Linked DNA regions of Saccharomyces cerevisiae S288C. Changing the gene in region 1 together with any one later gene gives a genetic interaction. Each region holds a gene or a part of one and is shown in the gene's direction. Other genes may lie near its edges.

Region 1 (7,138 bases):
TGTTAATCAAAGATTATTCTACGGTAGTCATTTTAACTACTACTGATGAAAATATTATATCAAAGATGAATGCGGTTTCTCAAGAAGTTGATTCCGGAAACATAGCACACTGCGTTGTTGTAATTGACGGTGCCACGATGGCCATGTTTGAAGGAAATCCTACATACATGTCTGTATTTGTTGAGCTTTGCACTAAAACAGACTCGGTAATATGTTGCCGTGCTTCACCTTCTCAAAAAGCCCTTATGGTTTCCAACATAAGAAATACCGATCCAAACTTAGTCACGTTGGCAATAGGTGATGGTGCGAATGATATTGCCATGATACAATCTGCCGATATAGGTGTTGGAATAGCCGGTAAGGAGGGATTGCAAGCATCTAGAGTATCTGATTATTCTATTGGCCAATTTCGGTTTCTCTTGAAATTGTTATTTGTTCATGGGCGTTATAACTATATTCGCACCTCCAAGTTTATGCTTTGCACGTTTTACAAAGAAATTACGTTTTACTTTACGCAGTTGATATATCAAAGATATACAATGTTTTCAGGCTCCTCTCTATATGAGCCATGGTCATTGTCCATGTTCAATACTCTATTCACATCACTACCGGTTCTATGTATTGGTATGTTTGAGAAAGACTTGAAACCAATGACTCTACTAACAGTCCCTGAATTATATTCGTACGGGCGCCTTTCACAAGGTTTTAATTGGTTAATATTCATGGAGTGGGTTATCTTGGCAACTACGAATTCTCTTATCATTACATTTTTAAATGTTGTAATGTGGGGTATGAGTTCTCTTTCAGATAACACTATGTATCCTCTAGGTCTCATCAATTTCACAGCCATTGTTGCCTTAATTAACGTTAAATCCCAATTTGTTGAAATGCACAATAGGAATTGGCTGGCTTTTACTTCTGTAGTTCTATCCTGTGGAGGTTGGTTAGTGTGGTGTTGTGCCCTTCCTATTTTGAATAATACTGACCAAATATATGATGTAGCATATGGCTTTTACAATCATTTTGGTAAAGACATTACATTCTGGTGTACTAGCTTGGTGTTGGCACTGTTACCTATCACTTTAGATATAGTTTACAAAACATTCAAAGTTATGATATGGCCATCAGATTCTGATATTTTTGCTGAGCTGGAACAAAAAAGTGATATCAGAAAGAAGCTGGAACTAGGAGCCTATAGCGAAATGAGGCAAGGATGGACGTGGGATAAAGATCCCAGTACTTTCACAAGGTACACAGACAAAGTTCTTTCAAGGCCAAGAACTAATTCACGTGCAAGTGCAAAAACTCATAACAGCAGCATATATTCAATGTCAAATGGGAATGTAGACCATTCCTCAAAAAAAAATTTCTTTGGAAACTCTTCTAAAAAGAGCTCTGAACGATACGAGGTATTACCTAGTGGCAAGTTAATCAAGCGACCATCCTTGAAAACACAAAGCAGTAAAGACAGTATTGGCGGCAATATAACTACTAAACTGACGAAGAAACTGAAGCTTCCATCGAGGAATGTGGAAGATGAAGATGTGAACCAGATTATTCAGGCAAGGCTAAAGGATCTGGAGTAATTCTCGTGATCTTGTTTAATTACATTATTGAGAACATTTTTATATATATACCTTTTATTGGAAATTAGTAGCGAGCTTAGAAGACTTACTTGATTTGTTGAGTCGAATATTATTTCGGCATCCACACATTAGAAAATTAACAAGATGTATTTTGAGAGAAAGCAAGGCACAACGCATGGGAAATCTTCACAAATTTTAAATACTATCTATAAACTAACTCTAATTATAAAAGTGGCTTGATTACTTTCGGTGTCAAAAGAAAAAGTAAATGTATGGCGTAAATGCTATGATTAGTTATCAGAAAATAAAGATGTTTATAAGTATTATACTGTCTGATTTAATTTCCTCGATATATTAAAATTCTAATACCATTATGTCCTTCTGGTAAACTGTGGAACAAAATAAAACATAGCCAGGAAGCCTGAAGGAATGACCTAAATGTCATCTAGTATACAAATGCGTTTTTTCAATTTTGCTTGCTCCTTGTAGTTTTATTTTATAGTACAACTTTGACTAACGTTGGAAAATAATAAAAAAATGACAGTAAAAATATTGTGTTTAACTAAACAGGTAATCTTTAATCATAGGAAGAACAATAAAGATGATGAAAAGAACGAGCATATTTTTTAATTGCGAATTCACTGCATTTTCTTCTGCTTGTTGTTGCTGCTGTCTTGAGCGGGGTTGTTGACGCATGAACGGTGAGCCACCACGATTATTAGTATAAACTCTGAAACCACCGGGGCCTCCAAATGAAAAAGTGGAAGCAGAAGGCCCAAATGGTGAAGCGCCGAATGGGCTGCCGCCTGCGTTGAACAAAAAGTCGAATATGTCCTCTGGTGGTCCAGCTCTTTGACCACCGAAACGTGAATTGAAAAACATGTCTTCAAATCCGCCACCCATTGGAGACCCACCTGCACTTCCTCGGAACCCTGAAGCAGCACCTCTGGATGGCATTTGTCTATCGTCAGGATCCCTACCTATCCTGTCATAAATACTGCGCTTTTCCTCATTGCTTAGTACTTCAAATGCCCTATTAATTACTTTGAAAGCTTCTCCCGCTTTTGGATGAGAGTTTTTATCAGGATGCAATTTGATTGCTAGTTTTCTGTATGCCTTCTTGATCTCACTATCTGTGGCTTTCCTATCTACCTTCAAAATTTCGTAAAACTCATGCTTGTCTTTTGACAGTATTTCTAGCGCGATTTTTTCTTGATCCTCAGTGAAAGACATGTTCTTCCTATTATAGACCTTCCACAAGTTATATTGCAGAAACAGCGTTGCTGCTATTATGGCTTCTGGAAGTAGAGGTGTATGAAAAGAACTTCTGCCAGCTTCCTTTATGTTCTTCACGAATACTTTCCAGCCTACTCTGCGGGTTACCCACTATACAAATACCATAATATGTTACGCGGTCCGCTATATACGAATCTACTATGTACGTCGAACATCATTAATCAAGTTTTTGGGGTTGTCATACATGGCTAAAACGCTCAGGATATCACGTAGGTGTTTCAAACCCCTTGTTGGTGGAGACCAATCCTGGTAAGTTCGCCAAATCTCTGTTAATCTTCTCAAAGCTTCCACGGTGTCCCTCTGAAAAACAGGGCCAGAAGTACTCGTGGTACTATCCAAGAAGCAGTTTAATGAGATGGAGAGCCTCAACGCATGTGGTATCTCTCGCTGCGGTAAATTTTTCAATTGAATCAATTTGGAGAAGGAATCATGAATTTTCCATACCAAATCATATTGATTGACAGTATTCAATATGCTTGTAGGAGTGTCGAGGTCGATGTTTAAACGTAAATGCTTACGACTTAATGGGTTTTTCGTGAATATTGTATTGTACAGAAAGCATTTATAGACTTTATCGTCATCATAAATGTCTGAATATATCCTTACGAAATCCGAAGATTTTTCGTTTTGATACTGCACAAACTGCAAAAAATCCTTTACCGTAGAAATATTCTCTGGCAATAATGATTCCGATGATGAACCGAGACTTTCACCCTCCCTTTGGTCGTAATTGAGTTGATGACCATTCATTTTCCACTTACTGTCCATTTCTTGAAGCCAGATTTTGTTGCTGTTCTGGTACTGTTTCCTAATATTTGGAGGCAATGTGTAATCATTAAATGACCTTGAAATAAAAAAAGGACTTAGTAAATTAATTATGGGAATAAATTGTTTATATCCTAAATTCTCCGTTATCATCAAAATATCCCATAAGGTTATTTCGAAAAGTCTGTTGGTGGGAATCTTCAATCTCGATTCAAAATTAGGGGTCCTTACATGGACGTCATTAATGTTACTAGTTGCTTCATCATCGGTATCAAGGTTTAAATTATTAGCATTCTTTAAATCAATGCCCATGTACTTCCCATTGCACCATAAATTTCTCAAGATTTTAGGGTGATTATAATCTATAGCAAGTTTTTCTGAAATTGTCATAAAATTATCATAAAGCTTACCAAAAAATGTCAGTCGAAACGTATCCCAATTGAACAAGAGCCAATCCAATGCATCCTGAACTAGTTTAGATTCACTAGAATCTATCCGCCTATAATTTTTGATTTTAGATAATGTGTCTTGTTGCTTTTTGTCAATGCCCTGAAATAACTGTTTTTCTTTGATTTGTTGGCTCTTCGTTGTGAAATCATTATTTGAATCATGATCATTACTATCATTTTCGTTAGTACTGGAATTGGAACCCAAGTTATTATAACTATTGCTAGTAAAGTCAGTGCTGTGGTCCCAAAATCGATAGCCTTGTAAACATGACTGGAAACTCAATACACTCACTGTAGTGTTTTCATCAAACTCTAGAACTTCATTATTTTGCACGATATATTTCGCTAATAGCAAAGTTAAGGGAACGCTGTGATAAACGCCCACAAAAAAAATTGAATCTACCTCTTTGAAAAGATGAGCCCAGTGGTTCAGTAACTCTACACATTCTTTATATGTAGGTATTAAATCTTGATTATGCAGTGGGCACTGGAACGATAGGGTCAAGACTCTTTGAGGTTGTTCTTGCGCTAGATTTTGTGACAATTTTCTAGAAAGATAATAAGCCGATCTTTGTGATTCTAATGAGCGCTGCTCATACTTTTCTGGTAAATCCCCCACGACGGATATTATAATAATTCTCTTATCCTTCAGTAATGCGGTTTTTTTTTGTCTTAAATAGAGATGTTGCTCATTAGGGAAGTTATAGTAATTTTTGATAGTATTCAATACCTTAGTTCTTAGTGGTTGGACGTGCAGAAAATTCAAAGGGTTATCTGATGGTAGGATTAAAGAATCATTAATAAATACATTATACCCAGGGTTACCTCCCTCCCCAGGATATTTGTTTAATGGCAATGGGCATTTGGCTGATCCTGTACCAGAGACACTGATTATTCCTGGGGTATCTATGGAATCAATTATGTTTGATGAATTTGATATATGTGGAATTGCTTCGTACCAACACCATGATTTCGACTTTTTTGAAATTATATCCTTAGCCTCATTTTCCAAGAAGTTGATTTGTTCAGTGTTTAGTTGAGAGTAGCGGGTATTATCATCAACAACAATTGGGGCACTTCTATATCTGGATGTTGCAAAAGAAGCGATTTTAGACCATATCCCTTTATTGTCATTATTCGAGTTCACGCTATCTTGAAAATCCGTTGTCGGACTACTCCTTCCTTGTCCATTAGGATATTCTGCAATTCTTCCCGTGTTTGGCTCATCGTCGGCAGTGGAATTCCACCAGGGTTTCCATCTGTTTTGTTGTCGTGGACGTTGGGGTGGGACTTCCTGCTGGTCCTCTCGTATCTGCTGCTGCTCTTGTGTTTGATGCTGCAACTGTTTATCCTGTTTCTGCTGCACAACATCCATTATAATAGCGTTTTATATGTTGTGCTAAATTGCTACTACACTTGCTCGCTTTTACTTATTCTGTTTGTAGTTGACCTTTATTTAACGTTGATTTTTGTTATTAACCTGCGCGAATCTGTATTAAGGGCGCATATTCCATGGGCAATTTCATTATAACAGAAAGGAAGAAAGCAAAGGAGGAAAGAAGCAATCCACAAACAGATAGCATGGATGATTTGTTAATTCGTAGACTAACAGATCGAAACGACAAGGAGGCCCATTTAAATGAGTTGTTTCAAGATAATAGTGGCGCCATTGGTGGCAACATTGTCAGCCATGACGATGCTTTATTGAATACACTGGCAATTCTACAAAAAGAACTGAAAAGTAAGGAGCAAGAAATACGAAGATTGAAAGAAGTTATTGCGTTGAAAAATAAGAATACGGAAAGGTTGAATGACGAATTGATTAGTGGAACCATTGAAAATAATGTTTTACAACAAAAACTCTCGGATCTGAAAAAAGAACATTCCCAGCTAGTTGCGAGATGGCTAAAAAAGACAGAGAAAGAGACAGAAGCCATGAACAGCGAAATAGATGGAACGAAATGATGCATCAGTTGTCAAATCGTCACAAAATGCATACAAAAGAAAATAAAATCATTGTGGTGCATATACATGGACAGAATATGAAACGCCAAAGTGTTTGCAATAAAGAGGTGAAAATATGTTAAACATGCTATAGAGAGTACACCTGCAAGTTAAGAAAATGCCATTCGTGTTTTTATCTACTATAATGTAATGTGACAGCTGTTTTAAACCTTTCTTAAGGTCGTTTGTGCGAGAACAGGCTTTTTTTTTGGAGAATGTATCTTGAGAGAAACTCAATAGTAATAACTGGATGCATAAAGAAAATTTCATATGAATCACTACAAATCTTTGGCGTTAGAATTCTATTGGGTAAATTGAACTTTGTAGCTTTTTGATGGTAAACTTGGCGGTTTTGCGCGACCCATGATCCTAAGAAACCCGCAGTTTCTATTAGGATTCACGATGGTCTTTATCTCACCTTCTATTATGTGTAAGTTGAAATGCCCCTTGCTGTTCTTATAGCAGAAAGCTTTTTTTTTCATTTATAGGACTAGCATTTTGGCATTGGAAGGGAAAAAATCATGCTTTCATTGAAAAATGAAAAGAAACATATCGTTATTTTGTGGGAACACTGAAGTATAATTTTTTGTTTCGGAAATTTACCATTGCATAGTGGGTATTTTCATCGAAAGTTGGCTAAAGAATGCATGCGGCCTGTTCATTCTGGTTATGAGCATTTCAATTGGTTAGTATATTGGCGTGAGTGGAAAGAATAGTGGATAAAAACTAAGAGACCCGTTCATTCTCCTGATACGATCTTGCGGTAAACCTTATATTTTTGGGGAGGGTACTGTAATATCTCATAACTCCGCGTATTATTGTGGATGTAACTTGTTGCTGATCCTCTCGCTGAGGCCATCATTATACGTGAGTCGAAGGATGGCCGAAATTTTATGATACTACACCGAAATTAAACCGTCGTCTAATTTAAGATGGCTGAAATGCAAAAACCTGGTTCTTTAAGTGGAAAATAGAAGACTAAATGGTTTCATTGCTATTTATGGTGCAAGAAGATGGCTTAAAGATTAAGAAGCATTA
Region 2 (8,980 bases), on another chromosome or scaffold:
CAATTTCATCAAACGCCTCCTTTGAAGGATTAATAACCATTAAATTAGAAGCAAATTTTAATTTTCCAACCTTTTTACTACTTTGGAAATCAAATAACGGCGATAAAGATGATGTAGAACTTATAATGTCCTGAGCTATGTTATTAGAATTCAAGTACAATGAATGCGGCAAACTCGGCAAATGATTATAAATCATCTGACCTTTCCCAATTCTTTTAGTCAGCACTTTTGTATACGACTGGAGGTTGATTGGTTGCTTTTCACGGTGTCGCGTTTCATGGTATGATTTTTCCAAATCACTGTTAGATAAAAACCAGTATGTTAATGGAGCTGCAAATTTGATATAATTTGGTAGGAAAAATAATTCGTCCAAGCTTGATCTTAAAATTGCGTCGTTGTCAAGATAAATCACACGGTCAAATTCTGTTTGGTTAAATACTAGTAATTTTGTTAAACTTTCATTCCAAGGTGTAGTATCCTTTGGCTTCACAATGTTATCTATCAACTTGATAACTACCTGGTCCTCATCTATAGCTTGAATCTTGTTAAGGAGTGAACTAATGTAAGCCACATTTGAGGAAGTGTTTGGGTCTAGCAGATCTTTAGATATCAGAAGAACTAACTTGGCCTTTGTCTCAAACTCCTGTTTCAGATCATTGAATATGATCAGCGTATTACAAAGATAATCAGCATTAGTCACATAATTCACGTATGCAAACTTGGACCACTCGATGACCTCACCGTTTTTCAACTCTTTATCTAAACGGGCGGTATATAAGTCATCTATCGTTTCCTTGGGTATTTGCTTGATTTCTAATGGGTTGTAAATTTCGTGAAGCCCATCCTTCCTCTGTTGAAAATACTTTTTATAGAACTTTATTTCTTGGTTATACTGAAAATGAACAACAAGTCTTGATACTACGAATACAGTGAGGACGCCGAACAAAATAAACACAATAAATCTGATTCTTCTTTTGGATATCAACCTCATAATTGGAATGATAGTTCCGAAGTATACAGTTTAGCAAATAATGTCACAATGTTGTCCACAAGTGGTCGGTATTTGTTTCCCGGTGATTTCGACTAATCCACCAGCCTGATACAGTACGATCATCACTAATGAACGAGAACCGAGCACTAGTTTATAGTGTACCAGATGCTAGTTTTGCTCAAACGGTCGCGTGCTGAGCGGAACGAGAGAGTATACAAGTGATATTTTAAAAAGCCCTACATTTTATCAAAACCCTAAACGCCAATGTTGAGCAACCCTAAAACGTTGATGGCGGCTATTTTTCCAATTTTTAAGTATCATAAGCATATTCTCCAAATGAATGGATCTTACCAATGAATACCAATGCAATAAACTTTTGAAAATGCTTCTGGAATAAATGTAATAATTCTGGTACGGTTGCCGGATGTTACTAAAAAAGTAAGTAATCTGTTTACTTGAACTTCCTCATAACTAAGGAATACAAACGTTTACTGCGGCTTAAAAATTCAACAGGTTTACTCTCCTAAGTAGTATTCTCTTAATTTCTGCCTTGTTAAGAGAATACTTCCCTTTTCTGTAAGTATGTTACATTTCTTTATAGTAATCATCCTAGAGGCATTACAGCTAAAAGGAACCTGTCCCGGGTTAGTATTCCAGATGACTTGACGAATGTTTGCGTTAACGAAAATGGATATGTAAAGAATGAATGAGTTACCACCCTGTAAGAACTCGTTTAAGAACAAAGCTCAGATCTAGATTAGGCACTCGCGCCCTTTAATTGAAAATCGCGACGCGAGGAAAGGCAAATATAATAGGCCACCTGGCCGGTGTACAATAGAAAATCTCTAAAGAAGGGCATTCCAACTCTTCCTTTCGACATAAGAGTAAAACAAATATTTGTGTGCTCCAAATACCGGCAAATAAAATAACAGACAATGCCGTACAGAGTGGCGACGGGCTACAGTGAAAAAAGTACTGACGATGATTTGATATGGAGAACGCCAATAGTAAAAGAGGAACTCGAGGATGCTGACAACTTTTTAAAGGATGATGCCGAGTTGTATGATAAAGTCAAGAACGAGAGTGCAGTATCACACCTGGATACCATAGTTATGCCGATCATTTTCACGGTACTGGGCATGTTCACTAGAATGTACAAGATTGGTCGTAATAATCATGTGGTCTGGGATGAAGCTCATTTTGGTAAGTTCGGCTCTTACTATCTGAGACACGAATTTTACCATGATGTTCATCCACCTTTAGGTAAAATGCTTGTTGGACTGTCTGGTTATTTGGCTGGCTACAATGGTTCTTGGGACTTCCCATCTGGTGAGGTTTATCCCGACTATATCGATTATGTGAAAATGAGGTTATTTCAAGCAATGTTTTCATCATTGTGTGTGCCACTAGCCTATTTCACAGGAAGGGCTATCGGATTTTCTAGGCTGAGTGTTTGGCTATTTACCATTCTAGTAATTTTTGAGAATTCGTATGCAACATTAGGCAAGTTCATTCTCCTTGATTCAATGCTACTTTTCTTTACCGTCTCTTCTTACTTTTGCCTTGCCAAGTTCCATACTATGAGAAAGTCTCCCTTTTCGGCTAGGTGGTGGCTATGGTTGTGCCTCACTGGGTTGAATTTGGGTTGCGCTATATCTGTGAAAATGGTAGGTCTTTTCATCATCAGTGTAGTAGGAATTTACACCATCAGTGAACTATGGAATCTCCTAAGTGATAGATCGGTGTCTTGGAAGGTTTATGTCAACCATTGGCTAGCAAGAATATTCGGGCTTATCATCATTCCTGTTTGCGTTTTTTTGTTATGCTTCAAAATCCATTTTGATCTGCTGTCCAACTCAGGGCCCGGCGACTCTACCATGCCATCATTATTTCAAGCCAGTCTGAACGGTACAAAAGTTGGTAAGGGACCACGTGATGTTGCTTTGGGTTCTTCTATTATTTCCATCAAAAATCAAGCGTTGGGAGGCGCTTTATTACATTCTCATGTCCAACCATTCCCAGAAGGTTCTGAGCAACAGCAAGTAACTGTCTATGGTTACAGTGATGCTAACAATGAATGGTTTTTTCAAAGAATCAGAGGAGTAGAGCCTTGGACTGATGCTGAGAACAAGACAATTGAGTTTGTAAAGGGTGGCGAAATGTATAGATTAATGCATCGCCTAACAGGCAAGAATCTACACACCCATGAAGTCCCAGCGCCTATATCGAAAAGTGAATATGAAGTTTCTGCTTACGGAGATGTAGACTTAGGTGACTACAAAGATAACTGGATTATAGAAATCGTGGAACAAGTAGGGGAAGAAGATCCAACACTACTACACCCGCTATCCACATCTTTCCGTATTAAAAATTCTATACTGGGTTGCTATTTAGCTCAGTCAGGTAAACATTTACCAGAATGGGGTTTCAGGCAAGGTGAAGTTGTCTGTTTAAAACACGCCTCCAAAAGGGATAAGAGAACCTGGTGGAATATCGAAACACATGAAAATGAAAGATTGCCACAGGGAGAAGATTTCGTATATCCGAAGACTTCATTCTTCAGGAATTTCATGCAGTTAAATTCAGCAATGATGGCAACCAATAATGCTTTGGTACCAAACCCTGAAAAGTTTGATGGTATAGCTTCATCTGCCTGGCAATGGCCAACCTTGAACGTCGGGGTAAGATTATGCGAATGGAGTGAAAAATCTATAAAGTACTTCTTATTAGGATCTCCTGCGTCCGTCTGGCCCTCAAGCATCGCAGTTTGCGCACTGATAATACACGTTATATTCTTAACTCTGAAATGGCAGAGACAATGTGTTATCCTATCCGATCCAGTCGAACGTGACGTGTTCGTTATGGCAGCCTTTTATCCATTGCTTGCTTGGCTTTTACATTATATGCCATTCGTAGTGATGTCAAGAGTTGTATACGCTCACCACTATCTGCCCACCCTTTATTTTGCCTTAATGATCTTGTCATACTACTTCGATATGATTACCAAACGTTGGGCTACAAGAAACACTGGAAAATTTCTAAGGCTAGGAGCTTATATTGTATACGGATCAATCGTGATCGCTGGATTTTTTTATTTCTCTCCTTTTAGTTTTGGGATGGATGGTCCAGTAGATGATTACGCGTACTTGGCATGGCTACCTACGTGGCAGATTGTTGAAGATATACGTAACACATAGATATATAGAATGATCAAAAACTTTTCTTCACCACACAAAAAATGTTAATTGATGCGCGAAATATCTTTTTCGACTTATGCCTTCTTCTTTATCATAACAAAGCTATGTACCTACGACGAAATGAAGATATTAATCCAGTCCAGCCTTAAGAAAATACGAGAAAAAAAATGCTCAAGTGTTAAACAATGCCTGTATGTAGTTATCTGTGAAATGCATCAAATCATGGTCAGGGTTTGCTTATTGATCAGATTTGTAGTTTTCAGGTATCTAAGATAAAAATATATGGTAAATACCTTTAACGAATATTATAAAATCTACTGGGTTATTCTATTGGAATCTAGAAAATCGGAAAAGTTTTGTATTCTGATATCTCTTGTGCTATGTGGTGTCAACACATGTCCACGAAAAGGTACACTACCCTGGACACTAACAACACTTTCCAGTGGTGGTGACTGTACTGTGGTAAGGGATCTTTGCGAAGAGGAAGCAGGCTGGTAGTGATGTGCGGTTGGTGGTATCGTTAATTTATTTTGTGTGATCGTTACTTCCTGTACGTTAGGACCAGGTTCGAGCCCTTGGCTCTCATAGTTCCCAATATCTTCATCGCTGCCGCCCACAAAATCATCCTCTGATCTAACAGGAGTACTCATTGTTGAATAAAGTTTATTTTTGATTCCATTATTTATAGAGAGCTCGTAACATGGTGGCGAGAGCAACTCGACATCTTGGTAAATGGGAGGAACTTCTTCGTCCCAGGAGATTCCAAGTCCAGATCTTTCAGTGACTGTTAATCTGAATTGCATTCTTAAAACACGTGCTGCACCAGTGGGAACACTCACTATATTAGAGTTACTAGCACCGTTAGATGCCTTCTCCTTATTAGTACTATGGTTGGACTTATTACTATTCACCGGTGTTATATCTTCAGGCCCCATGCGCCGTACTTTCGGTGTATTTCTATTTGCAAAAATTGGAGATAATTCAGCTAAGCGTTGATCAGGATTATGAACATTCATCGTATTGTTATTAGTTTCTTTCTTGTTTTTGGAGTTTGGTTTCCGTATAGGTTGCCCATTGGCATATTGCAATGTTTCTTCTGCAACAACTATTTCCACTGCCAAGATGTGGCTTACATACAAACCTAAATTTGGATCCTGTATATCGCAAGCCACATTGATGCTGGGCTTCTTATTGCCCGTGGAAGGAGTTTGTAGTGTCGATGCATGCATTACCGGATTAGAGACGCCTGAATTAAGTCCCATACAATCTATTTCTGTAACTAGCTCAATCTTTCCATTATTGTCAAAATCGGTTTTCCATCCACTCTTCATTTCTCCCTTAGATATTATCCGAACCTCTTCCGTAAATAAACTACTGTTGTTTTTTAGCTCTTGTTGAAGTTGTTGTTGTCTTGCGCGTTGTTGCTGCATTAGTAACTCCTGACGCAAAGCGTCGTCACTGGGATGGATGAATTCGCTACCGGGTTGGTCTTCCTCATCTTCATTAACAGGATTTTCATCATCAAGTCCAACATTACCAGTTGACGCTGGACCCGAAGAATTAGGTGCTTGTTCACGACCGGGCTCGCCTGGAAGCCTTTGCGACGGCATATTTTCTAAAGAGTTTACTGCAACCCGGATTTGTGGGCCTAGTTCACCATAACGCTTAATATGACTGCGTGGCTTTTTACTTTTTTCTGACTCTTTTATTTTAACCTGCTCTTCTAACTGCCTCAATTCATGCTTGTGCACTGGACAAGCATGTGCTTTAACTCTTGTAGTTTCTTCAATTCTCCAACTCAATTTACGCATTCGCCATCTCCTATCCCCCGAAGAAACACCGTCTAATTTCATCTCCAAAGGAAAAGTAGATTTAGGATATACAACATTAGGAAGAACAGCAGCAGCAGTTAACTCTGTAGGAGGAAATACTCTTAGAGAATTCTTATCAGGCCCGCGCGGTATACTTCGAGTCACGGCGATGGGCATCGCTAGTTGCAACAACCGCTTCTTAGAAGAGCTTCCTTCTTTCCTGGGAGTAGAATGACCGGAAGAAAAGGAATTTCTATGAGGATCTATATACGTCACAACAGCGATAAGTTCGTATTTGACCTGGGTTTCAGCCGTAGCACCTAGCGATGAAGAACATGGGACAGACCCCGGTATAAGATAGGAAAATGGGTAAGAGTGGCTTCCAACAGAAAGATCCTGGGTATTACTCTGAATTTCCCAGCTTTTCATGTTTGTAATCTTTGTTTTACAGTTCATACAGGTTTGCATTGAGGAAATATTAGGCACAAAGGGTTTATGGAAATGGATCTTCTGTACCAAACTTAGTGTTACCGACGTAATGGTGATCTTGGTATAACCAGCCATTATTCTTAAATTAGCAGGCGTGGGAGAATGCGATATGGATGTAGAAGATGTTGAAGGAGAGATATTTGACGTCGACGCTGACAAGCTGGACAATCTAGATGAAAGTGCAGAACCAAATGTACTCTTTCTTTTTAGGCTTTTAGAAGTAGTCGACACATTAGATTCTGTATTCTTTAAAGATTTATCTTCAGCACTACTGTAGGGATCGACAACCGTCACAGTAAAAAGTCCACTTAGCACAGCACCTGAGGATTCCATAGCAGACCCATAAAGAACACATGGCGGTGATTCTACATCAATAGAAAGGGTTAGTGGAAGACTTTGTCCTTTTTTGTTGCTATTACTGTAGCCGTTATGATTGGACTGATGAGTAGATGTAAGACGTGAAAATGCCATGGTAAAACGTATTGTTTAGTGAAATGTATACTAAGTAGGAGTAAAAATCAGCAATTTCTGGTGTTGAAATGTGAACAACAGCGTTCTCCTCCGAAAAAGCAAGCTATAACGTTGCTCAACTTTTGATTCCGAAATCAGAAGCTTAAATAAGGAAAACTGAAAGCTAATTGGATGAAGCACACAAACTTAATCAACCTTATTATTCAAAGTATTCGGAGCCCTAGTAAAAACTGCCTATGATATGTATGAGTCGTGCTTTTCCGTCTGGTTTAATAAGTGTTCGAGTCAGCTCAAATCGCATTTTTGTCTTGAAGCTTCCGCCAAAAGAAAAAAAAAGTCGTTAATAGCGATACAAGTAAGCAATTAACTATCACACCATAGAATGAGTTGACAAGAGTACTTATTTGATGGCTTTACTGAACTATGTATACACGTCCTTCATACATGGAACTTAGCTTTATCCTAAAAATTTTTATAATGTCACAGTCTTTATATCTAAATCCTTGTGAACAAAAGCTTTGTTACCACCAGCACCAAGGTAGTCACTAGCAACCTGGCCGTCACCTCTTATTTGGTATTGATAACTCACCAGACCGTCCAAGCCAACTGGACCACGGGCGTGAATCTTAGAGGTAGAAATACCCACTTCAGCACCAAAACCGTACCTGAAACCATCGGCAAATCTAGTTGATGCATTCCAGTAAACACCAGAGGAGTCGACACCCTTCATAAATTTTTCAGCGTTTGCTTTATTTTCCGTTACAATAGCGTCGGTATGTCTCGAAGAGTGTGTATTTATATGTTGAATGGCCGATTCTGTAGATGTAACAAACTTGGCAGCCAAATCCAAGGATAAAAATTCCTTATCAAAATCTTGCTCCTCATCAGCATCAACGGTTTTGCATTGAATTGCTTCTGTCAATTTCCCTAACTCATTCAGTTTATCAAAATACGCAGTTTTCAAATCTTTTGTAGCGTGGATAGTCACTCCGCCTTCCAAAGTTAAGTTTTCCAGAACTTCCCACCACTTAGAGAATTTTGGGTTAATCAACAACGTTTCCATAGCGTTGCAACCAGCTGGGTAGTTAGTCTTTGCATCCAAACTAATTCTTTTTGCCTTAATCAAATCTGCGTCTTCATCCAAGTAAATTGAGCAGATACCATCCGCATGACCCAACACGGGAATTTTTGTAGTGTCCTTGATTTTTCTGACTAAGGCATTGGAACCACGAGGAACAACTAAGTCGATGTACTCATCTTGATCCAACAAGTCGGAAACATCCTGTCTGGTTTCGATCAATTGCACAGAGCCCACAGGAACACCAGTCTCACTTTGGAATTGTGCAATGGTGTCGTTAACGATCTTTGCCATTTCTCTGAACGTGTTCACAGACTCTTTACCACCCTTCAAAATTGCAGCATTACCAGACTTGATACTCAATGCGGTAATATTGGCAATAACTTCTGGACGGGATTCAAAGATAACTAACAAAACGCCGACTGGAGCGGTTACTTGGTACAACGTCAAGCCATCATCTAATTCCCTGGCCATTTTAACCTTGCCAACAGGGTCTTCTAGTTCGGCTACATCCTTAATACCTTGTAACATAACTTCAAATTTGTCCCCTTTAAATAGGTCGAGACGTTTCAATAAAGAATCCGCTAGGCCAGTCTCTTTGGCAACAGCTAAATCGATTTTATTCGCTTCTTCAATGGCATGCGCATTAGCCTTCAGGGCATCGTGAATTTTGTATAAAATATCTGATCTGCCCTCGTTTGAGATGGTTTTCAAAATATTCCCTGCTTTACGGGCATTTTTGGCTATTTGTTGTGAACTGGACATCTTTATATTGGTTGCCTGTGCTCCTTTTTGTTCTTACTCTTTTTACCAATACGCTTTTACTTTTTCTCTTCTTTTCTTGAAGCTTTTTGAAAAACGTCTGTCGACTTTTTTCATTTTTTGACTCATTGACCCAACGCCACAAATGAACAAAGAAATTTGGCCACTGCATCGCCTTTCC
Region 3 (7,550 bases), on another chromosome or scaffold:
ACAAGCCCAAACACATCAAAGGGGTCCGAAAGGACAATCACATGCACAGGTTCAAAGTACTAATAGCCCTGCGCTAGCGCCAATTAACATGTTCCCGAGCTTAAGTAATTCTATACAGCCGATGCTTGGCACCTTGGCTCCGCAACCGCAAGATATAGTACAGAAGAGGAAGCTACCGTTACCAGGTTCAATAGCCTCTGCAGCAACAGGCAGTCCTTTTTCTCCATCACCCGTTGGTGAGTCTCCCTATAGCAAACGCTTTAAACTAGACGATAAACCAACTCCGTCTCAGACGGCTCTTGATTCCTTACTTACAAAATCCATTTCAAGCCCTAGATTACCCCTTTCGACGTTGGCTAACACAGCTGTCACGGAATCTTTTCGCTCACCTCAGCAGTTTCAGCATTCTCCAGATTTTGTAGTTGGTGGTAGCTCAAGTTCAACAACGGAAAATAACTCTAAGAAGGTAAATGAAGATTCTCCATCATCTTCTTCAAAACTAGCTGAACGACCTCGTCTTCCAAACAACGACTCCACTACTAGCATGCCTGAAAGTCCCACCGAGGTAGCTGGTGATGATGTTGATAGGGAGAAACCGCCAGAGTCAAGTAAGTCGGAGCCCAATGATAACAGCCCAGAATCGAAAGATCCTGAGAAAAATGGTAAAAACAGTAATCCGCTTGGTACGGATGCTGACAAACCAGTACCAATTTCTAATATTCATAATTCTACTGAGGCTGCAAATTCAAGTGGTACAGTGACAAAGACAGCTCCATCATTTCCGCAGAGTTCTTCTAAGTTTGAAATTATAAATAAAAAGGATACGAAGGCGGGGCCAAACGAGGCAATCAAATACAAGCTGTCCAGAGAAAATAAAACAATATGGGACCTATATGCGGAGTGGTATATTGGTCTGAACGGTAAATCTTCAATAAAAAAATTGATTGAAAATTATGGCTGGCGAAGGTGGAAGGTTAGCGAAGATTCACATTTTTTTCCTACTAGAAGAATTATTATGGATTATATTGAAACGGAATGTGATCGTGGCATAAAACTCGGCAGGTTTACTAATCCTCAACAACCGAGGGAGGATATACGGAAGATTTTAGTAGGGGACCTAGAAAAGTTCAGGATAAATAACGGTCTGACTCTGAATTCTCTATCATTGTACTTTAGAAATTTAACGAAAAATAACAAGGAAATTTGTATTTTTGAAAACTTTAAAAATTGGAACGTTAGATCAATGACAGAAGAAGAGAAATTAAAGTATTGCAAAAGGCGACATAATACACCATCTTAAGTTTATTGAGGTTGTCCGCGACAATAGTTCCTTCAACAAAATAACGAAGCGACGATAACGAGAAATGTCATTAGGTTATTACTACCTTTATAGAAAATATATATACTTATTTAATATTTATATAGATTTATGTGTGTACATACCTATGCGGATGTATGCCTATGTGGGAATTCCTAAATGTCTTTCCATCAACGACTAAATATATATTCTCATGACTGACTATATGGGTTACGAAAACTTAATTTTTTTGTCAAAGACCCTGGCGAATTGAGAAAACCCGCTGGATAGATGGGCTATCCGAAATTTTGAAAGATGGAAAAAACATTAATCTCATTAGCAAAAGAGGTAAGACCCTGGGTGAAGAAAAGTCCGAGGAGGGAACACAAAAAAGTCTAGGATAATGGCACATGAAAAGTTTAGTATACCTGAGAACTTCACATTAGCGCAGTCTTTGCAATTGCTTTACTCTGTTGTCAAAAATCAATATAAAAACCTAGCAGACCTAATAATCAATAGCAAAGGTAATAAGGACACAGTAACGTATGGGAAAATCCACAAAAACTTAGACACTTTACTGGTATACGTCAATGAAGGTCTACGAAAAATTGAAAAGACTTATACCTTAAAGAAAGGGTTAGGAAATCTTGTAGTTGATCATCCTGAATTGAGGAGCATCATTGAGGATTTCCAAATTCTTGGCCAGGATATAAGGATCGCACGTCGTAAAGCAGAAACGCTTATGGCCGAAGGAAACGGTAGTCCCTCTTTGTCATCCTCCTCTTCCGTTTTGGGCCTTGGGACAGGAAATGGTTTGCGTTTTCCAAAACTTTGGAGAATGGGTTCCAAAAGAGATAAATTGAAAGAAGCTGACGAAAAGGAGGCTAAAATCAACAAACAGGCTGATAATATCAGACGTGCTAGGAAATTAGAAGAAGAGAAAAAGTTAGGAGCAAAACTTCAGTATGAGAGGGACTTAGAACTTCAAAGGGAAAAATTGATCGAGTTAAAGGTTAAAGAAAAGGTCGAATTTGAAGTGGCCCAAAAGTTGGAGGAGGAGAGAGTTAAGAGAGAGGAAGAAGAACGCAAACATAGAGAACAAGCGGAGAAAAAACGTATATCAACCCTGAAACATGAGAGGAAAACAAATTACAAATCAAGGGCTAGCCTCGACAACTTCTCTTCCAGTAGCAAATCTTCTGGAAAGATTGACAACTCCCTAATTAAAAGAAGATCACTTGACGTTGTACGGACTTCAGGCGAAAGAGTACGAACGCCAGTAAGAAAATCAATGGAGGCAGCAGAAATAGGTATGGCTGCGCAGTTAGCCTGGTCTCAGTATCAAAACGGGGCAAATCATTCAAAAGTGAGTAACAACGGATCGCATTCAAATGAACTTCAGATACGTTATAAGCCAACACCACCTTTGAAAAAAAGGTATGACTACAAAAAGCCAACAGTTAATCGACCGATTATAAAATCACCTACTCTTAACAGGCAAAACAGCAAGTCTTCACGGAATATACCCACAAATAGCAAGCTGAAGGCTAGTAAATCCAATACTAACAAAGTTTCTCGTAGGAATGAGCAAAATTTGGAGCCTAGTTCACCAGTACTCGTTTCAGCGACAGCGGTACCTGCTGAATCCAAACCCATGCGTTCTAAAAGTGGTACACCCGATAAGGAAAGCTCTGCTAGTTCATCCCTCGATTCCAGAAAGGAGGATATATTAAAATCAGTGCAGGGAGTAGATCGAAACGCTTGTGAACAGATACTTAATGAAATTCTTGTTACGGATGAAAAAGTTTATTGGGAGGATATCGCAGGCTTACGGAATGCGAAGAATTCTTTGAAAGAAGCAGTGGTTTACCCATTTCTGCGGCCTGACTTATTCAAAGGGCTAAGAGAACCTGTTAGAGGTATGCTTTTGTTCGGCCCACCAGGTACAGGTAAGACAATGATTGCTAAGGCGGTTGCGACAGAGTCCAATTCCACATTTTTTAGTGTAAGTGCATCTTCTTTGCTATCGAAATACCTCGGTGAATCTGAGAAGCTGGTTAGAGCATTGTTTTACATGGCCAAAAAATTGTCACCCTCAATTATTTTCATAGATGAGATTGACTCTATGTTAACAGCTCGCTCTGATAATGAAAATGAGTCCTCGAGGAGAATTAAAACAGAACTTCTTATTCAGTGGTCCTCCCTATCTAGTGCTACTGCACAATCGGAAGACCGAAATAATACGCTTGACAGCAGAGTACTTGTCTTAGGAGCAACGAATTTGCCATGGGCGATTGATGATGCAGCAAGAAGACGATTTTCACGGAAACTATACATTCCTTTACCAGATTATGAAACTAGACTATATCATTTGAAGAGATTAATGGCCAAGCAGAAAAATAGCCTGCAAGATTTAGACTATGAATTAATAACAGAAATGACCGAGGGGTTTTCTGGTTCTGATCTTACGTCATTAGCCAAAGAAGCGGCAATGGAACCTATTAGAGATTTAGGAGATAAGTTGATGTTTGCGGATTTTGATAAAATCAGAGGAATTGAAATAAAAGATTTTCAGAATGCTCTGTTGACAATAAAAAAGAGCGTGTCGTCAGAATCTCTACAAAAATATGAGGAGTGGTCTAGTAAATTCGGTAGTAATGGTTCCTGAACGAGAGGGAGCGTCTTAATGGCAAAGAAAGGTATGAGAAGGAATTTTCCCCTTTCAACTTCTTGCTTCTGATCTAATTTTATTACCTATGTACTTTCTATGTATTATCAAAGAAAAACTAACTTCGGTTCCCTTATGATTTGATATTTTTCTTTCTTATTTACAATTAGTTTTCTCAGAACGATATTCAATACAGTTCTCCGGATTTTTGCTTACTATATTGGCCCCAAAAAAATGAAATAAAAAAAGAAAACAAAATAATATACTTGGGTGAAATAAAAAAAATAAATCAATAGCACCCAGTTAACCTAGATTCAAAGTTTCTTCTTCAATCTCAATTTATATACACGTTTGAGTTAATGGGAAAGCAAAGTCCAGCTATAAAACACTTGACCGTTAGCGCCATACCCTCCAACAACTAATTGGACCTTCTCCTTCTGCCCAAACAGTATATGCAAGGTACAGCAGTTACTACAAGCACAATATGTCTTGGATAAAAAATGTAACAGAATCTCCGACTTCACTGATTAAAAAAGTTTCATGTGGTTTGATAATTGCTGCTTCTCTATATGCCATTGCACCCAGCCTAAGTGCGCTAGTCTTTGGGGATTCTAAGCAGAGTATTGGGAAGTACACGACAGTGGGCTTAATTAATCGTGGGAATGATTGCTTCATAACATCATCTTTGCAAGGCCTGGCTGGAATACCTCGATTTGTAGAATATTTGAAACGGATAAGAACGGTCCTTCTAGAATTAGAAACTAAGCTGTCAAATAATGCAAAAGGCGACAATCCTACAGTTGATAACACTACAAGGCATAGTCGACTTGAAAACTCGTCTAATTCACTTGCCCCCTTACACGAAAGTCTTACCAGTTTAATTTTGGATTTGATATCTGTAAAAGATCGTAAGACGTCAATTTCTCCGAAAATAGTGATAAACACATTAGAGTCCATCTTTAAATCAAAGATCTCATCCAAACAAAATGATGCACATGAATTTACATTAATATTACTACAAACATTACAGGAAGAACGATCAAAATTGATCGATTACAGTAAACAGATATGTAATTTGAATATACCAAAGTTTCCATTTGAGGGCGAGACTTCCAAGTTTCTAGTATGCCTTAAATGCAAGGGTCTATCAGAACCATCATACAAACAGACTTTCATCCGCGAACTGTCCGTACCACAACAAACATCAGAGAATCTATCCAATATTCTAGCACACGATGAAACAGAAATCATAGACGACTATTCATGCCTGATCTGCCAAATAAGAGCAATCTTAAACCATGAAGAATATAGAAATTTCAAGGACTGTACCCCGGATGAAATTTTAATGTTGGACAGATTGAAAAATTATGCCACTAAAGCCCCAATTAACGAAAATTTACCATTCGAAGTAGAACAGTACGTCAAGCGTTACTCAAAGGGCAATTTGCAGGTATCTAATATAAAGGGAAAGGTCATCAAAAAAGATGTAGTAGTACAACTGCCAGACATATTAATTGTTCACTTATCGAGATCCACATTCAATGGTATTACATATTCTAGAAATCCCTGCAATGTCAAATTTGGAGAAAGAATAACACTTTCTGAATATACATTGGCTGAGAGTGGGACAATAACAGAAAACAGGCAAGTCAAATATAATTTGAAAAGTGTTGTGAAACACACCGGTTCTCATTCGAGTGGACACTATATGTGTTACAGACGCAAGACTGAAATTCGTTTCGGGAAGGAGGATGAATCTTCCTTCAGAAGAGCACCAGTTGTCAACAATGAAGTTAACAAGAATCGCGAGCAAAACGTTGCACATAATGATTACAAAAAAAGCAGATATAAAAAAGTCAAAAACGCCCTGCGGTATCCTTATTGGCAAATATCTGATACCGCCATAAAGGAATCTACCGCTTCAACTGTCTTGAATGAACAGAAATATGCTTATATGCTATACTACGAACGTGTAAATAAATAACCGCCCTGTACATAGGTATATTATAATAATAGTAAGTTACGCATCCATATCCACATCAGTATCCACTGCCATCATTTCAACATCGGTATCAGCCTCTCCATCATAAGTGTATTTCGAAGTCATTTGATTATGGAACCACTTCCACCAGCTTAGATAAGCAATTTCCTTATAATCTACCCATTTTATTATTTGTAGCCTTTTTTCTCTCAAACGTTCCCATATTTTGTCATAAAACAAGTCATTGTCGCCGCGTTTACTTGTGGAACACTTGATGATCTCTTTCAGGACCTTATCATCAATAGCGTCTGTGAATACTATATTGTTATGAATAAGATTGTTATCATCTGCATGTCCGTTCTTGGGCCCTTTATCATTTAAGGATAAATTCTCTAAATCTATAATTAGTCTTTTTCTTTTATAATTATCAATTCCTATTGGGTCTGGAGAATGATTTCTTTTCCTAATGTGGTTGGGATTGCCATTACTTCTTGCAAACCGGGAACTCATGGAATGAAAAAGTCATTTAAACGTGCCACTAGTTTTACTATCTGCTAATCGTTCTAGACGTGTAATATAAATCATATCCGAGCGCCGTTGTTGAATAATTTAATGCCTTCGTATTACATACATTTTGAAATTTGCTTTCGTAAAAGAGCGGTTCCCGGATAAAAAAGTGTGCAAATAACCGAGCCTTATTTGATTTCCAGTAAAGACCCAACCAAACGCATCATTGAAGCAAAAATAGATTAAAACTTACTGTTGTTCGTCTATTGAATTTTGTTCGGATTGGTGTGGTGTTTAATATCTTGGGCAGAAAGAGAATTGGCTTTATAGACACTCATAAAATCATCATTCCCCTTAGAGCAAAAGGTATTTTTAGAAGCCAAGAAGAAGAGCAGATAAAAAAGAAGTACGCCCTCTAACAATAAAAGTCAAATGGCTAGACAATTATTCACTCCTCCGATAACCAATCCAAGGTTTGACCCTAATCAATCCATCAGGGAATCATACAAGAACACAACTGGCGGCATGCAATTTCAACAAAATCTACATGAGGATCAAAATGACAATGAGAGAAGTAGCTGTGATGGTGATGAAAACTCTACAACAGGAGAAAGGCTAGAAAACAATAAGTCTCCTATATTGACAAAACAAGAAATTGACGAAGCGTTGAACACTGTCACCAATTTACCTCCAGAATTATCAAAATTAATTGACATTTTTATTGATGACCTAAAGCAGCCAAAGTACGTACGGCCACTATCAGTACTGCAATTGTCTAGTCTTTTCCAAAGCTTTTACATAAAATTTGATAAAGCATCATTCCAGCACGTCAGTTCAGCGAATAATAATGGCTATTATTTTTCTGGCGGGGGCTCTAGTTCATTCTTGGCTGCCAAAGAAACGTTAAGTAGTGGTCTTAGCGGAATTTTTGGCAGAAGTAGGAGTAGTAGTGGAAATTCACTTATGAGGCCAAGAAGATCTTCATCGCTTTTCAGTAATGAGTCAATATCAAATTCAACTAATGCCACACAAATGTTGTCACCTGAAGAGATAAAAAAGCAATTGAAAATCAACGAATTAAACAACATGAAAATCGA
Region 4 (8,842 bases), on another chromosome or scaffold:
AAGATTGGCGATGTCGCATGTCTGAAAAGAGTATTAGTTCAAGATGAGAATGGATTGAACGAGATGAGAAATGAAGTGGAGGTAATGAAGAAATTGAAAGGGGCCCCAAATATAGTACAATACTTCGATTCCAACGCCTCTCGCCGTCGTGATGGCGTTCAAGGATTTGAGGTTCTTTTGCTAATGGAATTGTGTCCAAACAAATCTTTGCTAGATTATATGAACCAACGATTGTCAACGAAACTGACAGAAGCTGAAATTGTGAAAATTATGTATGACGTTGCTCTTTCTATCTCTCAAATGCACTACCTTCCTGTGTCCTTGATCCATCGCGATATCAAGATTGAAAATGTCTTGGTAGATGCCAAAAACAATTTCAAGCTAGCTGATTTTGGGTCCACGTCGACATGTTTCCCAATTGTCACTACTCATCAAGATATTGCTCTTTTGACTCAAAACATCTATGTGCATACTACTCCGCAGTATAGGTCCCCTGAAATGATTGACCTTTACAGATGTCTGCCCATTAACGAAAAATCAGACATATGGGCTTTGGGAGTTTTCCTTTACAAATTATTATTTTTCACCACCCCTTTTGAAATGACAGGTCAATTTGCTATATTACATTCCAAATATGAATTTCCTGTCAACAAATATTCATCAAAACTAATCAACTTAATCATTATCATGTTGGCGGAAAACCCAAATTTGAGACCGAACATTTATCAAGTATTATACCATTTATGTGAGATTTTAAATGTGGAAGTTCCAATCGAGGATAAGTATGCGGAAGGTGCCTATAATTTTTCTAAATATACGCAGTTTCAGAATAAATTACAAAATGTTCAATTGCAAATGTACCAGCTACAACAAAAGAAAATTATGCAGAACAATAAATTGAGTGACTCAGAAGAAAACTTACTGAATGACATGTTTCTTTCTTCTTTTGAAATCTCATCCAAACTTCCCATGAACGCTAGTGACGGTCATGCCGCTGTTTCTAGAATACCATCTCAAAATGTCGGCCAAGAACTTGAAGAAGAGAAAGAAAGTCAATCCGATCAGAGGAAGTCTACCCTGTCCGAAGATAAATCGTCAAGAACAACATCGAATGCTAACAGTTCTGGTACAGCCAATAATCCTCAAGAAATCAATACAATCCAGTCTCCAGGTATAGAGGACAAATCAATTTTTGAAAATAAAACTCCTGGAGAGTTATATTATCCAAGCGTGAGCGAATTAGATACTTATTTGGACAAAGAATTGGTCAAACAATCAAGTGATCCGACTATTTCTGAACAAAGTCCTCGTTTGAATACCCAATCACTACCACAGAGGCAAAAGAGCACAAGCTCTTATTCTTCAGGTGGCAGATCAATGAAGAGCACATCATATGGTGCAGCAACGATCGGGTCAGACGAAGCCTTGGCGAACGAGAAAACTGCTGGTATTAATAAGATGAAACAACATAAATCGAATAATCCCTTTCCAAAAATGAATGTTGCATACCATTCTACGAATGAATTGAGCAATGACGCAAGTAACTTTTTCCTGGAAGAACAACAGCAAGGCCAGAGATATCAGCAAGCTCAAAATCAAACAGGTACACAAGGGAATACCTTTCCAGATGAATCTCAGTATCAATCTAGAGTTGAACAACAGCAGCAACAACAGGACCAACCCAAAGGACCTGCTAATTATAGCCAAAGAAATTTCTACACTGGGAGGGATCGGTCCAATAAACCTATGCAGTTGGGTGGAACTATTGCTGGAGATAGTGGTAATAGAAGAGTCAACTTTCAGAATATTTCTCAAAATTACGCCACGAACTCCCAGTCAGGATATCTCCCAAGTCAAAATTCCCCAGCAATTCCAATGGTGAGACCTGTTATTTCCATGAATCAGCAGCAAGCGCAACAGATACAAGCCCAGCAATTGCAGGCACAACAGATGCAGGCAAAGCAACAGATGCAAGCCAAGCAGCAGATGCAAGTTCAGCAACAACTGCAAGTCCAACAGCAAATGCAAATTCAAAATGCAAATAATAATGGTACTTACGTCTCTGATAGAACAAATCATACCACAGAAGATATGAGAAATGCTCAGGGGGGTGAACCTCCAATTCTTGCAGGAAATTCTGCAAATGAACCAATGCACTCATCCTCTAAAAATGAAGCTCTCTTAATTGAACTATCTCCATTAAAAGAAGATGCAGGAAAGCAATCTTTCCAAGATACAAATGAGCCTCAAACTGGCGGTATCGAAGATGCCGGCGGTTCAGGAACTATCAAAGGCTCGAACAATAATCGAAATGGCGTTTTAAATTTAAGTTTGAATGAGATGGACTTATCAAGAGATGATACTGGTGCTGCTGTCTCCTCCTTTTCATCGTCTTCATCGTCTGCATCAATTCAACAAGCTAAGCTTTCTGGACGCAAAGGTTCCAGTAAGAGGAACAATTATTCAACAGACGAATTGGGAGATAGTATGGTCTCCAGCGAAAGCATTGATATTGATTTGGATGATGCAAGGAGAGGAAAAACAGCTGAAAGAAGACCACTCCATAATGAAAGAGGTCATAAAGACCAGGCAAGATCAAGTGATGCTAGTAAGTCTAATCAATTCAAAAGCAAGGACTTCAGCAGCGTATCAACAAGGCAACCGCGGCAGTCATTGGATCTGAATTTCCAGGAAGTAAATCTGTCTTCACCAACGTTAACTCAAGAGCATAGAAATAAAAACGACTCGCCAGCACCAAATTCACATCACTCGTATAGAGTTTCACCTCATGCTTCCACCGCAATAACTGAGAATAAGCGCCACAGTACTGGTCACGAACTGTCAACCCGGTCAAATGGCAAGCATGAAACACACAGGACTGGTTCCAAGCAAAGGCACGATTTGGAAAGATACCGGCATTCGAAGGATAAGGATAGCAATAGCAGCATTACTATTAGCACCTCAACTCCATCAGAGATGAGAAAATCCTTCGCTAGGGCCCGTCAATCGCTTGATTTGGAAAGGGTCCGTCGTGAAGCGATGGCAAGTAGTGCATCCAGTAGTGGTGGCAGTAACGGGAAAAGGAGATCTTTTTTCTCAGTCTTTAGAAGCGAGAAATGATTCGATAAATAGAGCACATATAAAATCATATACATACATTGTTACATATAGAGGCGCAGACAATCCGTATATCTTCCTCAAAAACTAAATTGATAGAACAATAGTAACTCAAATCATATGCATTAAGCATATCGTGCGAGATGACGTTTACTCCTGACGCGCTTAACGAGAAGCGGTTAAGTGAAGAGTAATAGTGCTCGCAATTTGACAGAAATGACACCATTTTAAAAGTACTAGAGATAAAGAGTGTAGAAACCGGAAGAACAAAGGTGGAACATATCATAAGGGGAAGAAATGACACAACATAAAAGCTCGATGGTGTACATACCCACCACTAAGGAAGCTAAAAGACGTAATGGGAAATCAGAAGGCATACTAAATACTATTGAAGAAGTGGTGGAAAAGCTTTATTGGACCTACTACATACATTTACCCTTTTATTTAATGGCCTCTTTTGATTCATTCTTCCTCCATGTTTTTTTTCTCACAATTTTCAGTTTGAGTTTCTTCGGTATACTAAAGTATTGCTTCCTTTGAATGATTATTTATATCCTTATTCGGTTAATAATAGTATAAGCTGGAGGCAAGGGGACAGAAAATTTAGGAGGATATCATGGAGGATAGAGTTACATAAATATACACACAATACATAAACTAATAATTGCTTGTGGCTATAGGATATAATTTATAACAGTTGATGTGCCTTTGAAAAATGACATCGTTTGGAATGAGATCAAATTTATCACTTGATGAAATCACAGTGAAAAGCGACTTGCAATGGCAGTAGAGATGACAGGTAAATTCATCCAAAAAGAGAGCCCGAAGTCTTTCTCACATTCAGAAATGGCAGAAGCAGTACTAGAAAACGTTAACGTTCCTGCAGTCGTTTCAAAAGATGAGTGTATTTATTGCTTTGAATCCCCTTATAATGAACCATTGGCCCTCAATGCATCACCTAAACATTCATTGAATATATGCTTAAACTGTTTCCAAGCTACGTGCAACAGACATGTTCCACTCCATATCCGAGTCACAGAATATGCTTGCGATACCATACATTCCAATTATTTAACTATTGCTAAAGTGGAGAAACCTAAGCAAGAAAATGTAGAAGAAAATAATAACAACAAAAAAATAAAGCTACAGGTAATTGAGACGTCAGAAGACGACACCCACAACACTATTTGGAGTTTACAAAGGTTCAATGGTGAAAATGTTCCCAGGACCGTACTTTCGAAGTCGACAGACTCTGACATTTCTTCTACGGCCTTGGAGAAGATTGAAAAGATATTAAAGGCGAAGTCACAAGACTTCGAGGATAAGAAGAACTCCTGGGTGTTAGAAATCAGCACCTGTCCACATACAGAAAACTTTCAAATTCCATCTAAGCCCGAAAATACTGTGAATTTAAACCAATGCTCTTCCTGTGATTTGACTCAAAATCTCTGGTTATGCCTACATTGTGGTAATATCGGATGTGGCAGGGAACAAATCGGGATTGATGGTCACTCGCATGCTTTGGATCATTATCGGAGTAATAATAATCACCCATTAGCTATCAAATTAGGGTCTTTAAGCTCTTCAACCTATGATCTGTATTGTTACGCATGTGACGACGAAACTAGATTTCCAGATAATGTTAATTTAGGCAGTGCACTACAAATATACGGAATTAACATACAAGAAAAGATTGCGGATGAAAAGACTCTAGTTCAATTACAAGTGGAACAGAACGAAAATTGGCAATTTAGAATGGTCGATTCTAGCGGTAAAGAATTTGAAAAATTATCCGCTAGTAAGAATTATGGCTGTGGTCTGATCAATTTGGGTAATTCCTGTTACTTAAATTCGGTTATACAAAGCTTGGTGAATGGTGGCGTCCCGAATTGGTCCTTGGATTTTCTAGGAAGTAAATTTCCACTGGATGTTGTATATCCGGACAATAATTTAAAGTGCCAATGGATCAAGCTACTCAATGCCATGAAATGTGAACCCGAACTATATCCAAATGGTATCAAACCTACTACTTTCAAGAAATGCATTGGGCAAAATCATCAGGAATTCAGTTCCAATAGACAACAGGATGCGATGGAATTTCTAACCTTCCTTTTAGACTTGTTAGACAAGAAATTTTTTTCAAGTAGTTCTTCAGGTATTCCAAATCCCAACGATTTAGTTAGATTTATGATGGAGGATAGGCTCCAATGTAACATTTGCGGGAAGGTTAAATATTCTTATGAACCCACAGAGGCTATACAGATTCCCTTAGAGGAGAATGATGAACCTCAAGATATGTTAGAGAGAATCAAGGCGTATTTTGAAGGGCAGACGATTGAATTTAAATGTGCTAATTGTAAGGAAAAGGTTACCGCAAATAAAAAACCTGGTTTCAAATCTCTTCCTCAAACACTTATTTTGAACCCAATAAGGATTAGATTACAGAACTGGATTCCTGTTAAGACAAGTAATGAGCTTTCTTTACCAGGTTTAATAGACAGGGATGATATGCTAGATGTTTCGTCTTATTTATCACAAGGATTTGATCCTCAAACTGAAAACTTATTGCCTGATGAGGACGAAAACCGTAGCTCTTTTACGCCAAACCAATGCAGTATTTCTCAATTAATTGAAATGGGCTTTACTCAAAATGCTAGCGTGCGCGCCCTATTTAACACCGGAAACCAAGACGCTGAGAGCGCTATGAATTGGCTATTCCAGCATATGGATGACCCTGATTTAAATGATCCCTTTGTCCCGCCTCCTAATGTCCCCAAGAAAGATAAGAGAGAAGTGGATGAGGTATCATTGACTTCAATGTTATCCATGGGACTAAATCCCAACTTATGTCGTAAAGCCTTGATACTCAACAACGGAGATGTTAATCGTAGTGTTGAATGGGTATTTAACAACATGGATGATGATGGAACATTTCCCGAACCTGAAGTGCCAAATGAAGAACAGCAACAAAAAAAGGATCTTGGATATTCGACCGCTAAACCGTACGCTTTAACTGCAGTTATTTGTCATAAGGGAAATTCTGTCCATTCTGGTCACTATGTTGTTTTTATTCGTAAACTAGTGGCAGACAAATGGAAGTGGGTTCTTTATAACGATGAGAAACTAGTTGCTGCCGACAGCATTGAAGATATGAAAAAAAATGGTTATATTTATTTCTATACAAGATGCTAAAAGAACGTTTACACACACACACACACACACACACACATATATATATATATATATATATATATATATATATATATATTTTGCATTATATGTGTATGATCAAATCTATCGAGTTAAATATTTCTACATATTTCAGTAATAAATCCATTTCCATTAGCTATTTTGCAATGTTTTTTCTTTTTTTTTTTTGCTGCTGTTACCTTCGCCGCTAAAAAATCATTTAAAACAAGAAAAGAGTACATTGTTTGATGAAACAACAAGCAAGAAATGTAAACGATAGTCAAACTTAGTAAGAAGAGAATCAGCTGGCTTGGTACTTGATCTTTTGATTTGACCTCATTCTTTTTGCATACACGGCTCGTTTGGAATACTGTTGTAAAAATGAATTACATGGCTTATGATTATGATCCCCAACATTCGTTGGAAACGTCCTTTAACAATTTGGCATTTCATCCCCACCAACAGTCACAGCAACAAGCCCTATACGAATCTGGTGAAAGAAACGATGCCAGGCCGGGATTAATGAACACCTTAGGTCAGGCGAGTAAAATGAATAATTCCATGCTTCCTCAAGGTTCGTCGGCTAGTCCCTTAACGGGTCAACATAGCTTGAACAGTACAACAAATTTCAACATGCCCCCATCAATGAATACCTATAATTACCAGAATGTACCACAAGCATCTATGAGAAATACTCTCAATCATAACAATATCATGAATGGGGCAACTGCTAATGATTATTGGCTGGATCCAATGAATAATATGACAAATAACAAGGATACTAATGGGAATCCTAATGACTCGATGTCATCAATGTCTAATATGACCGCTAAAACCTCAATCAATAGTACGGCATTCAAGAATTCATTTGTTCCTTTTAATCATGTGACAGCGCTCTCAATGAATAATGTCAACAGCAATGAGATGAATTCAAATAAAGATGACAGAATGGAAGCATTGGAAGTAGAACTACAAATAAAGGAAAGTCAAATCGAATCACTCGAGAACGAAATTCAAAGGCTAAAGAAAATTTTCAACGAGGGGCTAAACTACAAGCAGAATGAGCATAAGTATGAGAAGGAAAACTGCCATATACCCCAAACTTTCGAATTGCCAGCTTCCTTGGAAGTGATATTCAGAAAACTGTCATCGTCACTGCATGCAAAGGAAAAGGAGTTAGCAGAGACGAAAGAAAATCTGGAAAGTATATTAACTGCACTGGCGCTAAATCCAACAAATTCAGTGACTAAGTATGGCAGGTATGATGCAGAATCGATTGCTCACAAAATGGTGGTAAGATTAGAAAACTTAACAAACGAGAACAAAGAAATGGCCAAGATGTTAGCATATGGCAGATCAAAAGAGACCCAAATTGAACTGCAGTTGGCCAAAAAAGAAAATCTAGAATTAAGAGAAAAAATCGCATCTTTGGAAGCCCATTTGGCTTCAAAGGAGTCTTCAAAGGAGGACGTTGCTAATTGAAAGAGGTTTACTCATTATCGAGAACATATGGCTAATTCTAAAAAACGAAAAAGAATAATATGCAAATATATAGATATGTGTATATGATACAAGCTTTTTTCATGAAAAATAAACGGAAGAGAATTTTTGCTTTTGTCCTACACGAGGAATGTATCAAAGACTATTACTTTTTTAAGTATGTTGTCTTAGATGGCTGAGTTTTATGCTTTTTCCAAAAAGAGCAACGTAGCTGTTATTTATTTACTTAGTTATTACCTCCAGATAACGTGTCTAATCTCTTACCTCTATTTATAAAAATTATTCATTAAAATACTATTGAAAATTGGAGTATATACTTACAAACGTATATATTTTTTTAGAAGCATCAAGGCAAGATCAAAGCTATGCCGCTTTGTTCCTGATGTTCTCCATTTTTTGCTGGCTTCATTAACAAAGACGTACTTTTAATCCTAGAGGTTCATAAAAGTGAACAATCAGTGTGAACTTTTATGGATATTACATAATACATTTAACGGCATTCCATTTAACAATAAAATTCAAATGTGCTCAGCTGTGATTCATTGAAATGATAGGATACATATTATTCGTTATGCCACTCGCAAACGTACAGCGGAAAATTTTGTGTGTGTAAATTATCTTGATGGTAACCACCGGAAACAATATAGGAAGACTACTCCACGAAGAAAAGCGTTCATGATGATACAAGGCAAACCACAGCTTACAAGGCAAACCACAGCTTACATGCCGCCAGCGCAGCTACAACATAGATCAATTAGACACAGACAACATAAAACGTTCGCAATTGCTGAACAGCAATCGCCACAGTTACAACAACAACAACAATCATTTCTTGGTGGCGGCGGCCCTTGTTGTATGTATATAGGTTGCGGTTGTGGTTGATAATACATCGGTTGTGGTTGATAGTATTGATGTCTCATTGTGATGTCGCACTTTTTTTTTTTGATGATATTTCTCAAAGTACAAGGACCTAGACAAAATCAATTGTTCATCTAACAAAAAGTGTTGTTTTACTGATACTTTTATATATTATTGC

The links.
Region 2: mutations in ATG16 (region 1) and PMT3 together harm fitness more than expected from each alone (negative genetic interaction), as found in Saccharomyces cerevisiae (2 studies listed by BioGRID).
Region 3: mutations in ATG16 (region 1) and YTA6 together harm fitness more than expected from each alone (negative genetic interaction), as found in Saccharomyces cerevisiae (2 studies listed by BioGRID).
Region 4: mutations in ATG16 (region 1) and UBP14 together harm fitness more than expected from each alone (negative genetic interaction), as found in Saccharomyces cerevisiae (2 studies listed by BioGRID).

What each region holds. Positions count from the first base shown.
Region 1 is NC_001145.3:573,399-580,536, reverse strand, and holds ATG16 (Atg16p), read left to right. Parts: upstream 1-5,608; coding exon 5,609-6,061; downstream 6,062-7,138. Other genes in the region: aminophospholipid-translocating P4-type ATPase DNF3, read left to right, coding at 1-1,586; type I HSP40 co-chaperone HLJ1, read right to left, coding at 2,145-2,819; CVM1 (Cvm1p), read right to left, coding at 3,021-5,471. UniProt on the Saccharomyces cerevisiae protein: Stabilizes the ATG5-ATG12 conjugate and mediates the formation of the 350 kDa complex, which is necessary for autophagy.
Region 2 is NC_001147.6:914,104-923,083, forward strand, and holds PMT3 (dolichyl-phosphate-mannose-protein mannosyltransferase PMT3), read left to right. Parts: upstream 1-1,926; coding exon 1,927-4,188; downstream 4,189-8,980. Other genes in the region: GNT1 (glucose N-acetyltransferase), read right to left, coding at 1-991; LDB19 (Ldb19p), read right to left, coding at 4,503-6,959; PRO2 (glutamate-5-semialdehyde dehydrogenase), read right to left, coding at 7,432-8,802. UniProt on the Saccharomyces cerevisiae protein: Protein O-mannosyltransferase involved in O-glycosylation which is essential for cell wall rigidity. Forms a heterodimeric complex with PMT5 and more rarely with PMT1 to transfer mannose from Dol-P-mannose to Ser or Thr residues on proteins.
Region 3 is NC_001148.4:414,063-421,612, forward strand, and holds YTA6 (putative AAA family ATPase YTA6), read left to right. Parts: upstream 1-1,700; coding exon 1,701-3,965; downstream 3,966-7,550. Other genes in the region: transcription regulator GCR1, read left to right, coding at 1-1,300; putative ubiquitin-specific protease UBP16, read left to right, coding at 4,450-5,949; YPL071C (uncharacterized protein), read right to left, coding at 5,986-6,456; guanine nucleotide exchange factor MUK1, read left to right, coding at 6,886-7,550.
Region 4 is NC_001134.8:351,139-359,980, reverse strand, and holds UBP14 (ubiquitin-specific protease UBP14), read left to right. Parts: upstream 1-3,963; coding exon 3,964-6,309; downstream 6,310-8,842. Other genes in the region: serine/threonine protein kinase AKL1, read left to right, coding at 1-3,120; TSC3 (Tsc3p), read left to right, coding at 3,415-3,657; MUM2 (Mum2p), read left to right, coding at 6,688-7,788; MNC1 (Mnc1p), read right to left, coding at 8,526-8,726. UniProt on the Saccharomyces cerevisiae protein: Required for the adaptation to the presence of glucose in the growth medium; mediates the degradation of enzymes involved in gluconeogenesis when cells are shifted to glucose-containing medium.